Linked DNA regions of Oryzias latipes. The protein of the gene in region 1 purifies or fractionates together with the protein of each later gene. This does not show direct contact. Links are inferred from orthologs where the notes say so. Each region holds a gene or a part of one and is shown on either strand. Other genes may lie near its edges.

What was found.
Region 2: the proteins of ccnf (region 1) and nusap1 purify together in Homo sapiens (affinity purification with mass spectrometry; 3 studies listed by BioGRID, with this or other methods). This does not show direct contact. The link is inferred for Oryzias latipes from reciprocal best matches to the Homo sapiens genes CCNF and NUSAP1.

Annotation. Positions count from the first base shown.
Region 1 is NC_019866.2:11,077,462-11,081,826, reverse strand, and holds the start of ccnf (cyclin-F), read left to right. Parts: upstream 1-1,410; 5' UTR 1,411-1,802; coding exon 1,803-1,815; intron 1,816-2,844; coding exon 2,845-2,999; intron 3,000-3,162; coding exon 3,163-3,269; intron 3,270-3,366; coding exon 3,367-3,434; intron 3,435-3,880; coding exon 3,881-4,077; intron 4,078-4,365. UniProt on the Homo sapiens protein: Substrate recognition component of a SCF (SKP1-CUL1-F-box protein) E3 ubiquitin-protein ligase complex which mediates the ubiquitination and subsequent proteasomal degradation of target proteins.
Region 2 is NC_019880.2:1,752,133-1,756,376, reverse strand, and holds the start of nusap1 (nucleolar and spindle-associated protein 1), read right to left. Parts: upstream 2,962-4,244; 5' UTR 2,871-2,961; intron 2,736-2,870; coding exon of another isoform or gene 2,564-2,735; exon of another isoform or gene 2,344-2,563; intron 2,293-2,343; exon of another isoform or gene 2,201-2,292; 5' UTR 2,200-2,200; coding exon 2,125-2,199; intron 1,988-2,124; coding exon 1,925-1,987; intron 1,846-1,924; coding exon 1,702-1,845; intron 1,208-1,701; coding exon 1,066-1,207; intron 991-1,065; coding exon 898-990; intron 325-897; coding exon 212-324; intron 1-211. Other genes in the region: oip5 (protein Mis18-beta), read left to right, coding at 2,564-2,735, 3,502-3,568, 3,676-3,798, 3,930-4,011, 4,198-4,244. UniProt on the Homo sapiens protein: Microtubule-associated protein with the capacity to bundle and stabilize microtubules. May associate with chromosomes and promote the organization of mitotic spindle microtubules around them.

The DNA.
Region 1 (4,365 bases):
ATTATGCTGCCTATTTGTTATCATTTACTTTGTGGGGTTTTTTTTACCTGAAAGTGGCTGCGATGGGTTGGAGTTTCTATGGAAACAGTGCATCCAGTTGAAGATGTCACAGCCCTTGCCCTGACTGAGGTCACTCAAGATAATTTGATTTTGCTGCATCTCCAGTGTTAAATAGAGCAAAGAATATTTCCCATAGTGAGTTAAGAGGAAATACACTTTCTTTATTGTGCAAGTCAAGATAAAAATGGGAAATAAATAATATTGCCGTGGAACCTTTTTTGACACTTCCAAAAGCCTTTGCCCTCTTAAATGTAATTACTGAGTAGTAGCTTTGTTTGTAGCGATGAGATTAGGTGAACAGGTGATGAACCGATCAATAGAAGGCTTGAAAGCAACAAAGGACTGACTGTGCACTCTGGTCCTTTATAACCTCCTTCCAAAAACTAGCAATCAAGAGGACACTATTCAGCTAACAGAGAAGTTTATTTATCGTCAATAGAGACGCAACAAAAAGGTCTTAATCATGTAGTTTTCTCCGAGGCAGCTGCAATAGAGGCCAAACCAATCTGTTGCTTTCATTCATTCATTTGTGTTGTCGGTCACATGGTTACTGAGATGTGAAGTGATGTGTTTTTGTGTGGGTTGGAGGGGGGGGACTCGTTTTTGTTATCTCGTTAGGACTTTTGCTGGTATAAACAGAAACCTTGTCAGGGTTAGAAACCCTTTTGGGTATGAAAGATTGGTCCAAATGAGGCAGGATGTAATTGCTGGATTCCTGGGTATGGGGGCAAAGGTGTACATGGAGGTTAAACTATGGTAAACTAGAACCTTAGGGGAGGAGGGGCAAAATCCAATAAAGCCAGGATATTATATAAAGATTTGTGTAAATCCATGTTTTGCTCTCAAAACTGCAGAAAAATAATATATCCTTACATTTTTTTCAAGAACTGCTAATTATATCAGGAAATTTAAATTTGCATTTAGAGTAAAGAGAAAACAACAACGCTTGTAAATTTAAATCAAAAGTTAAGAAGTTAAAGGTTTGCACAATACCAAAACATAAAAATAAATAAATAAAACTAACAAAGAAAAATGTACATTTGTTGTTTTTTATCTTATTTACTTAACAGTGAGCTTTTGGTTCAAACTTATTCTCCACAGTTTGAGTACCAATAACGTAGTTGGAGCTGTTTTTTTTTTTTTTAAGTTCTTCTATTATACCACTGTGGGGAGGGTTAATTTGTAGCTGTCCCTTTAAAAGCGGTACCTTTAAATTGTCTATTTTATGTGACTACATATCCCATGGTTCACTTCAAAATGGTCGCTCTGTGGACAGCTTCATATTCAGGTCATCCAATTATTTGTGCTTTTGGGCGAGCGCGTACTTCGAAAAGGCATTACGTTATCCAATAGAATTCTCTACTTTTCCAGTTTATACCGTATGGCCAACCACAGCCTTCGCTCTGCGGGATGACCAATCGGAAAGTCTTGATGCAACGGATGGGCGTCACCACTTTTCACCAATCAGATTAAACAATGAGTTTAAACCATGGGCGCGGGCGGTCCTAGACCGCTTTCGGGGCGGGGCCAAATGTGGACACGCTTGGATTTGAATTCAGGCAGGAGCTAACAATTTATAGGATGTTAGCTGGTGATAGAAAGACAGCAGATATCGTATCATTCTTAATTTAGTTTTCTGACAAAAGCAGCAAATAATTTTGCTTGTTTTAGGTGGTGTCGTCACTCATTATACGCACTTGTTCCGTGTTGTATCTCCATACATCGGTCTTGAGCCACTTGCAATGAAAGCGGGCGGTAAGTAGATTTTAAAAACTTTCTTCCTACTAATATTTATATCTTCCGTGAAACAATAGTTAAATATTTTGCCTTTTATGAATGTAAATATATAGTCTGTCTTTATTTGTAAGTATTCAGAGAGTGCAGTGAAATTTAGCAACTAAGTAAGCGATGTACTAACAAAACTTGTTCTATTTAAGTTAATACAAACCTAAAATCAAAAATAAAGTCCATAACCTTTAAATTAATCTAGCTTGTTTGTTGTAGTAGTATTTAAATATATATAACTATAAACTAGATTTAAAAATAAAGAACTCAAGCTTCAATCGGAATACGGGAGGGAAATTTGGGCGCTCATCTGATTCGATTTCTTCAACTCAGAAACTTACTTCAAACTATTTTTCTGCGATTATTCAGGTGCAATGTATATTTAACACAACATTTTTTTAAATGAATCCTTATAAAATGGTTGGTGTTTGTTTAAATCTTTATCATATTTATTCAAATATGCAGAGAAGGCCACACGAGGGTGTCAAACGTTTGTCATCTTCATGATGGAGGGAGTTGAGAATTTACTGTCATTTATCTTGAAGGGTCTTCATATTTTCAACTTTTTATCCTTAATTTTCATCTATTTACAAAAATATGACCAAAATAGTGTTTAACTGTATTTTATGAAACTTTATGCTAAGTGAAAAAGTTATTGCTGTAGAGACGAGGCTTGCTGTAGAATCTTATTTCTTTCTTTTTTACATTTTTTTTTAAAATAGGATTTGATTATTCTTGATTATTTTTTTATTTTATTTATGACCATCTTGACCAAATAACACAAGAGGAGGCAACTGCCTCTAAAATGCCTTTATAATGATGTGCAAATATTGATTTTCGCACAGATGTGAGAATGAGTTTTTCGCATTACCCTGTGAAGTGCTTTTGTACACTTGAATGAAATTCTGTACATTTCTGCGTGCATTAAAGATGCTGCTCTAGAGATGCATCCACAAATCCATGTATTGATGACTTTTTCCTCCCTTCCTCTGTCTACAGTTGTCCACTGCCGTTGTTCAAAATGTTACTCGGTTCCAGTGCGGAAGCGGGTTCGTAAACGCTCGTCGTCCCTAACGCTGCTGTCTCTGCCTGAGGAGATTCTTCTCTGTGTGCTTCAGTGTCTGTCTGCAGAAGACCTCCTCTCTGTTAGAGCAGTAAGTAATGATGTATGCATTTGAATTGTGCAGTTTGTTCTTTAACATATGTGCTGCATTTTGTCAAATCTCAAGTGACTGTTCTTTGCGCATCTTGTGACTAAAAACTATAAAGTTTCTTTTTGTTCCTGCTTTTGTTAATCTTATTTTGTTTTGGTTGTAGGTTCATTCCCAGCTGCGGGATATTGTAGACAACCACTCCAGTGTGTGGGCCAGGGTCAGTTTCAGAGACCGATGGCCATCCCCCAACACCTTATGGCTATTTGAAAAGTATGGTTCCCTCTTACAAAAAAAGAAAGAAATTCACTGTTCTGACTGCTTGTCATTTATCGAGTTTTTAACTGCAATTTTTTTTTTCTCAATCTAGAGCTGCAGAAAAAGGGAATTTCGAGGCTGCTGTGAAACTTGGGATTGCTTATTTATACAATGAAGGGCGTAAGTGCACTAAAGGCTACATTTCCTGAGCAGTATGTATTTTAATCAAAGACAAAATGCTCTCGTTCTCAAGAGCAATAACACAACATAACATCAAAAACACCTAAAGACAGCTTTACACTATCAAGGGGTCTTCAATCGCATCCTCAAGGCATCATTATACATTGCTTGCAGCCTCTGCATCCTCAACAACTTTTAATTACCCACAAGTGGGCAGTATATGAAGTATGCATTAGGAGAAAAAAATATAAAACTTGCCTTTGTGTGCGTCTTCCAGCACTATCTACCTCAGAACGGTATATTTAAGATGCTCGACTGGCGTCTAACAGGAATATTTCAAAAACACATGGTTAAAAAAAGTCAGAAATTTTTTTTTTATAGCTTAAGACACTTATGAGTTTGTCTTGATATGAACCTTTTCTACTGTCTTCCCTTTTGTTCTTCAGCGTTGCTGAGTGATGAAGGGCGAGCGGACGTCTGCGGTCAAAAGGCCTCCCACTTCTTTAGCCTGGCGGAAAGCGTGCGCTCCCCCAAAGCCGACCCATTCACTTGGGTTTTCATCCGTCCGCCGTGGTCACCCACCGGCAGCTGCTGCAAGGCCGTGGTGTTCGATCACCTCAAGGCCGAGTGCGATACTAACATGGTAGGTGCTGCTGCTGCTGTTGTTGCTGCTGCTGTGGCTCCATCGAGTCCATCCTGAGGAGCCCTGTATCTGTGTTTCTTTAATCTTTAGCTTTGTCTTCTATATTTGACAGACAACAATATGCTTAGAAAAAATCAGTCTAAGGTCAGTGGAGGGTAGAATCTGGGTTTTAGGTGCTTATTATCAGCAGATTACATTTTAGCAGAAAAATGATGGCCTTGATGGTCTATTTTCTGCTCCTGGAAAACACTGACACTAGTTCCTGCTGAAACTATTACTAGCATATCG
Region 2 (4,244 bases), on another chromosome or scaffold:
ACAGAGGATCTGACTGAGTGGTTAGAAGATTTGCACTGGGATGCCTCCCTAATGGAGCAAAACATGTCCTGAACAGGAACCCTCCAGGCTGACCCCGACCCCCTGTAGAGGTCACCGGGAACAGACCAGCATCCTCCTGGGGGGGGGGGGCATGTGTCAGACCCAAGTGCATTTCCAGCTTTCAGAATAAAAGCATGGCTGTTTCCAATACCTTCAGCTCTTTGACAGGATTCTTGAGGGTGTCCACCTTCCTCTTCTTACGCTCAACGTAGGTGTCGATGGACTCCATCTTCTTAAAATGAGCCTCGTGGAGCTTTTTGAAATCTGGATGAAAGACATTTAAATGATGAAGGGGAACGAATCAGACTCACATGATGGAAACTGTTTTCAAAAACCAAAGACCTTCACAAAGAAAAATAAATGAACAAAATTAGAAAACAGACAAAACTGTGCACCCAACATAATGAAACAAACGAGGAGAGAAATAGAAATCTGCGGTTTGAGATGTTCTTTCAGGGAGCAGGACGTTACAATAATCTGTTTAGGTGGAAGTAAGAACATCAGCACCTCCTCCATGCTGGCAAAGTCATGCAACGTTTTATGTTGATGAAATTCTACTCTAGATTCTTTTTTTAAAATATGGAATATAAATCAGCCCAGAGTCAGAATAAACACCCTGATATCTCACTATTTGGAGAAATGATCGATTTCTTGTCTTCAGAACGTCAACTAAAAGCTCGGGGTCGTCCTGTTGAGCCATAGAGCTTCTCTGCATTCATGACTTCCTGTCTAAAATTCAGTTTAAAAATCTGCTTTCTGACTCCTCACCATCAGGAGATGAGCGTGTTTATCTGTGCGTCATCAGCACGGCCGTGAAATAAAGAAAGAAAAACTTACTTGGAGTGAGCGGTTTGAGCGCAGCCTTCTGCTGAGATCCACGATAGCGAGGGATCTTTCCAGCTTTGCTCACTTTGGGTTTTGGCTCTGGTTCTGGACACAGTGGTTTTCATGAATAAAAGGTACCCCAGTTAAGAAGCGGAGAGCATAAACCCCACTAGTGCACACCTGTCTCCACGCGTGCAGGTGCTTCCACGCAGGCGTCAGGCTGCAGCTCCTCCTGAGGCTCAGGTGAGTTCTGCTCAGAGGACGCTCGTCTCTTTGAAGCTCTCCTGGTCTTGGAGGATGAGGCTTCAGGTTCAGCATCAGCCTGGTAAGAAAAGAAAACCCATTAGAGGTTTTAGAGGACCAAACCTCCAAAAACCTCATAGATTCCAGCTAAAAATCCAGCTCACTTTGGACAAAATGATCTTTGGGATCAACAATCGTCTGTTAATCTTAGTTCTCTTATTCATACCTCAAAATGGAAAAAAGTATGGCCTAATTTCATTTTATTCAAAAAAAACATTTGCAAGCAAATTATCTTAATGCTTTAAAATGTATGCATAACAAAGGTGCAAATCTACTGGACATCCTCAGCAATTTTGATTTATTCTGGGATGTCTGTTTACAAATGTGTGAGTATAAATGAGTTATTGTTTATTGATGGCATGATTTTGTAAAATGTTTTCCCTCAGTTATGTGTACTACTTACAAAGTCATTGTTAATGAAGACAATCTTATTGCCTGTTTTGTCATAAGTTTGCATATAAAGTTTTTTTTTAAATAACTCCAAAAGTCACGTGACGTCGTATTTGCGTGTACCCGTGCAGCCTTTGGGGTCACCGCAGCCCCGCTGGTGGTCTTCCCCGAGTCCCTGCGTCCTCTCCCCCGACGCGCGTTGACAAACACGCGTGGGCTGGAGGTTTCTTTGACTGCATCCTGATCGGCATGACTGACGCGATCATCCTGTCCACGACACAAACAAGCCTTCATACAAAACTGCAGTTCAGGCTAAAGCAGCGATGTGTTTACGAGTGCCGGTTACCTTCCCCCCCGCCGCCTCCTGCTGCTTGTAGTGCTGTTTTACAGCCTTCAGGAGTTTGTTTGCCTGTATTGAGACAAATTATGTTAACACAAGTCACGTATTAGACAAACTACAGTAACAGCGCCCTTCGTTAGTAGTTGCCATATCCCGTAATAATTTTTCGTTCAGGATAAAGTTATGAAGCTAAATGTTGATCTTGCCTTCATGTTTGCTTTCAGTCCGAGCTGTTTAGCGAGACTTCGCAGATCGGCATATTTCATGGAGTCCAAATCCATCCTGACAAGGAGTAAATCCAGAAAAAGAATCCCGTTTTTATCCACAGTCAGATTGAATTCTGCGCGAGGCGTCCGCGGCTGACGGTTAAAACCAGATTTGAAACGGGACAAGAGGAGGGCTATGATTGGCTCTCAGTTTGACCGGAAATGGTCACAACCAATCAGAGCAAAGCGTGTCGATGCCTTTCCGTTTAAAAAAAATATTTTAATAATATAAAGACAGAAAAGCTTCACAAAAATCTGTTTTATTTTAGATTTTGAAAATTGAATTTGAATCAAAAATTCTTACAGGGAAAAAAAACGTTTATAGATAAAAGTTCGTAACTGCTCGGCGTGGCACGCGCGTCTGGGAAACCCGCTAAAAATGGAGTTTGAGAAAAGCATTTTAAATAAACGCAGCGACGAAGCGAAGCCTGGGACAGCGGCAGACGACAGACATCTGATGACCTTCCACTGCCAGCACTGCTACACCGTCCTGGCGGATTCCCTGGATGTTTGTGGTGAACTGCAGAGTCTGGACTCGGTCATTCTCTTAAGTAGGTTTGTCTCCTTTGTTTTGGTCACACAGACGTTCACGGCAGAATATTAACTAGCAAGCGAGTAATTTGTTAGAACTGTGTGTTAAAGGGAAAATATAGTTAAATTACCAATTTATTTATTTATTTACTTACTTGTTTGCCTGGCTATTTGGTGATCTGTGATTTGTAAGTTGTTACTGTTTTGGGGGGAGATCTTCCATGACAGGTAAATGTCTCCACTGTGGTATCAATAAAGTTAAATTCAAAGCTTTATTGATCCGTCGGGTTTGACAACAGTAAAAGTAGAATTTATTTTTTAAATTAAAGCAAGTTTTTGCCACCGAAGACGCTTTTAGGCAATTAAAGCACGCGATAACAAAAGTAATTTTGTTTTAACTACACTAAATATTTTTGACCAACTGTCCTTCATAAAAATAAAAAATATTAAATTAAGAAAATAAAAAATCAGCATTTTCTGATGAATCCCCTGAGTTTATTACCAAATATTATATTAACAAAATGTAATTTAGTAACAAATGTTCAAATGTCTTGTTGCTCTAATCAGCCATAGACGATGTTTTCTCCCATTTACCAACAAAAAAGCTATAATAACCTGTTAAAATAGGTCTCAGCTTTACAGAATTAAGGGGATGTTGTTGTTATTTACTTTTGTAACCCCCCCCCCCCCGTTGTTTTTTTTTTTTTTTTTTTTACTAAATTGTTCTTTACTATGAATACATTTATAAAAGAAATACAAATTTTATTTCTGCTTTTCTTTCCTCAGAAGTTACAGACGATGTTGTGGTTGGAGATGCTGTAATGTCCAAAGATAAAGGAGAAATGACAAACTGGTGAGTAGATTTTAAGGTAGAACCTGATAAAGATGATAAATACAGGACATAATCTGTCTCCTCTGAATGTTGAAACCCTCCCTGATCTCCACTGGTTTGTTCCTCAGCATCTCCAGTCCTCTTAAATGCAGTCACTGCCACCTCGACGTGGGGAAGATTCTCCACTCGAGCCCACCGAGCCTGGCTCCAGTTCGCTCCCTCTTCCTCCTGGACAAATCCAGCATCAGTTGGTGAATTTTCCCTGATCCGCTCTTTCATGAATAAAGGAGTAAATCAGAGCTGAGACTTTCTCCCTTTTCAATGGTAGAGATGAGAACACTGAGATGAGAAGCACTCAGAAAAAAACTATTTTCTTCTGCAGTTACATCCTGAACAGCAGCTCCATGGTGAAGGCCTCTGGACTCTCATTTGATCTGCAGCCTGTGAGTGAAAGACTGGCAGAGGTGAGAGCTTCGGGGAGGATCACGTGTGTGTTCTTTCTCAGTAAATGGGAGCTGTAGACACAGATCTGTCCTGCAGGGGGCGCCAGAGCAACATCCAAACAGAGATTGCTGTTGGACGGTTGACTCCTGGGATCATGTCGTCAGAACTTTCTCCTTCAGAGCTCACCTGCTGCCTTTTGTTCACAGGTGAAGCAACATTTTGAAGCTCACTTGGAGAAGATGTCGATCCTGAA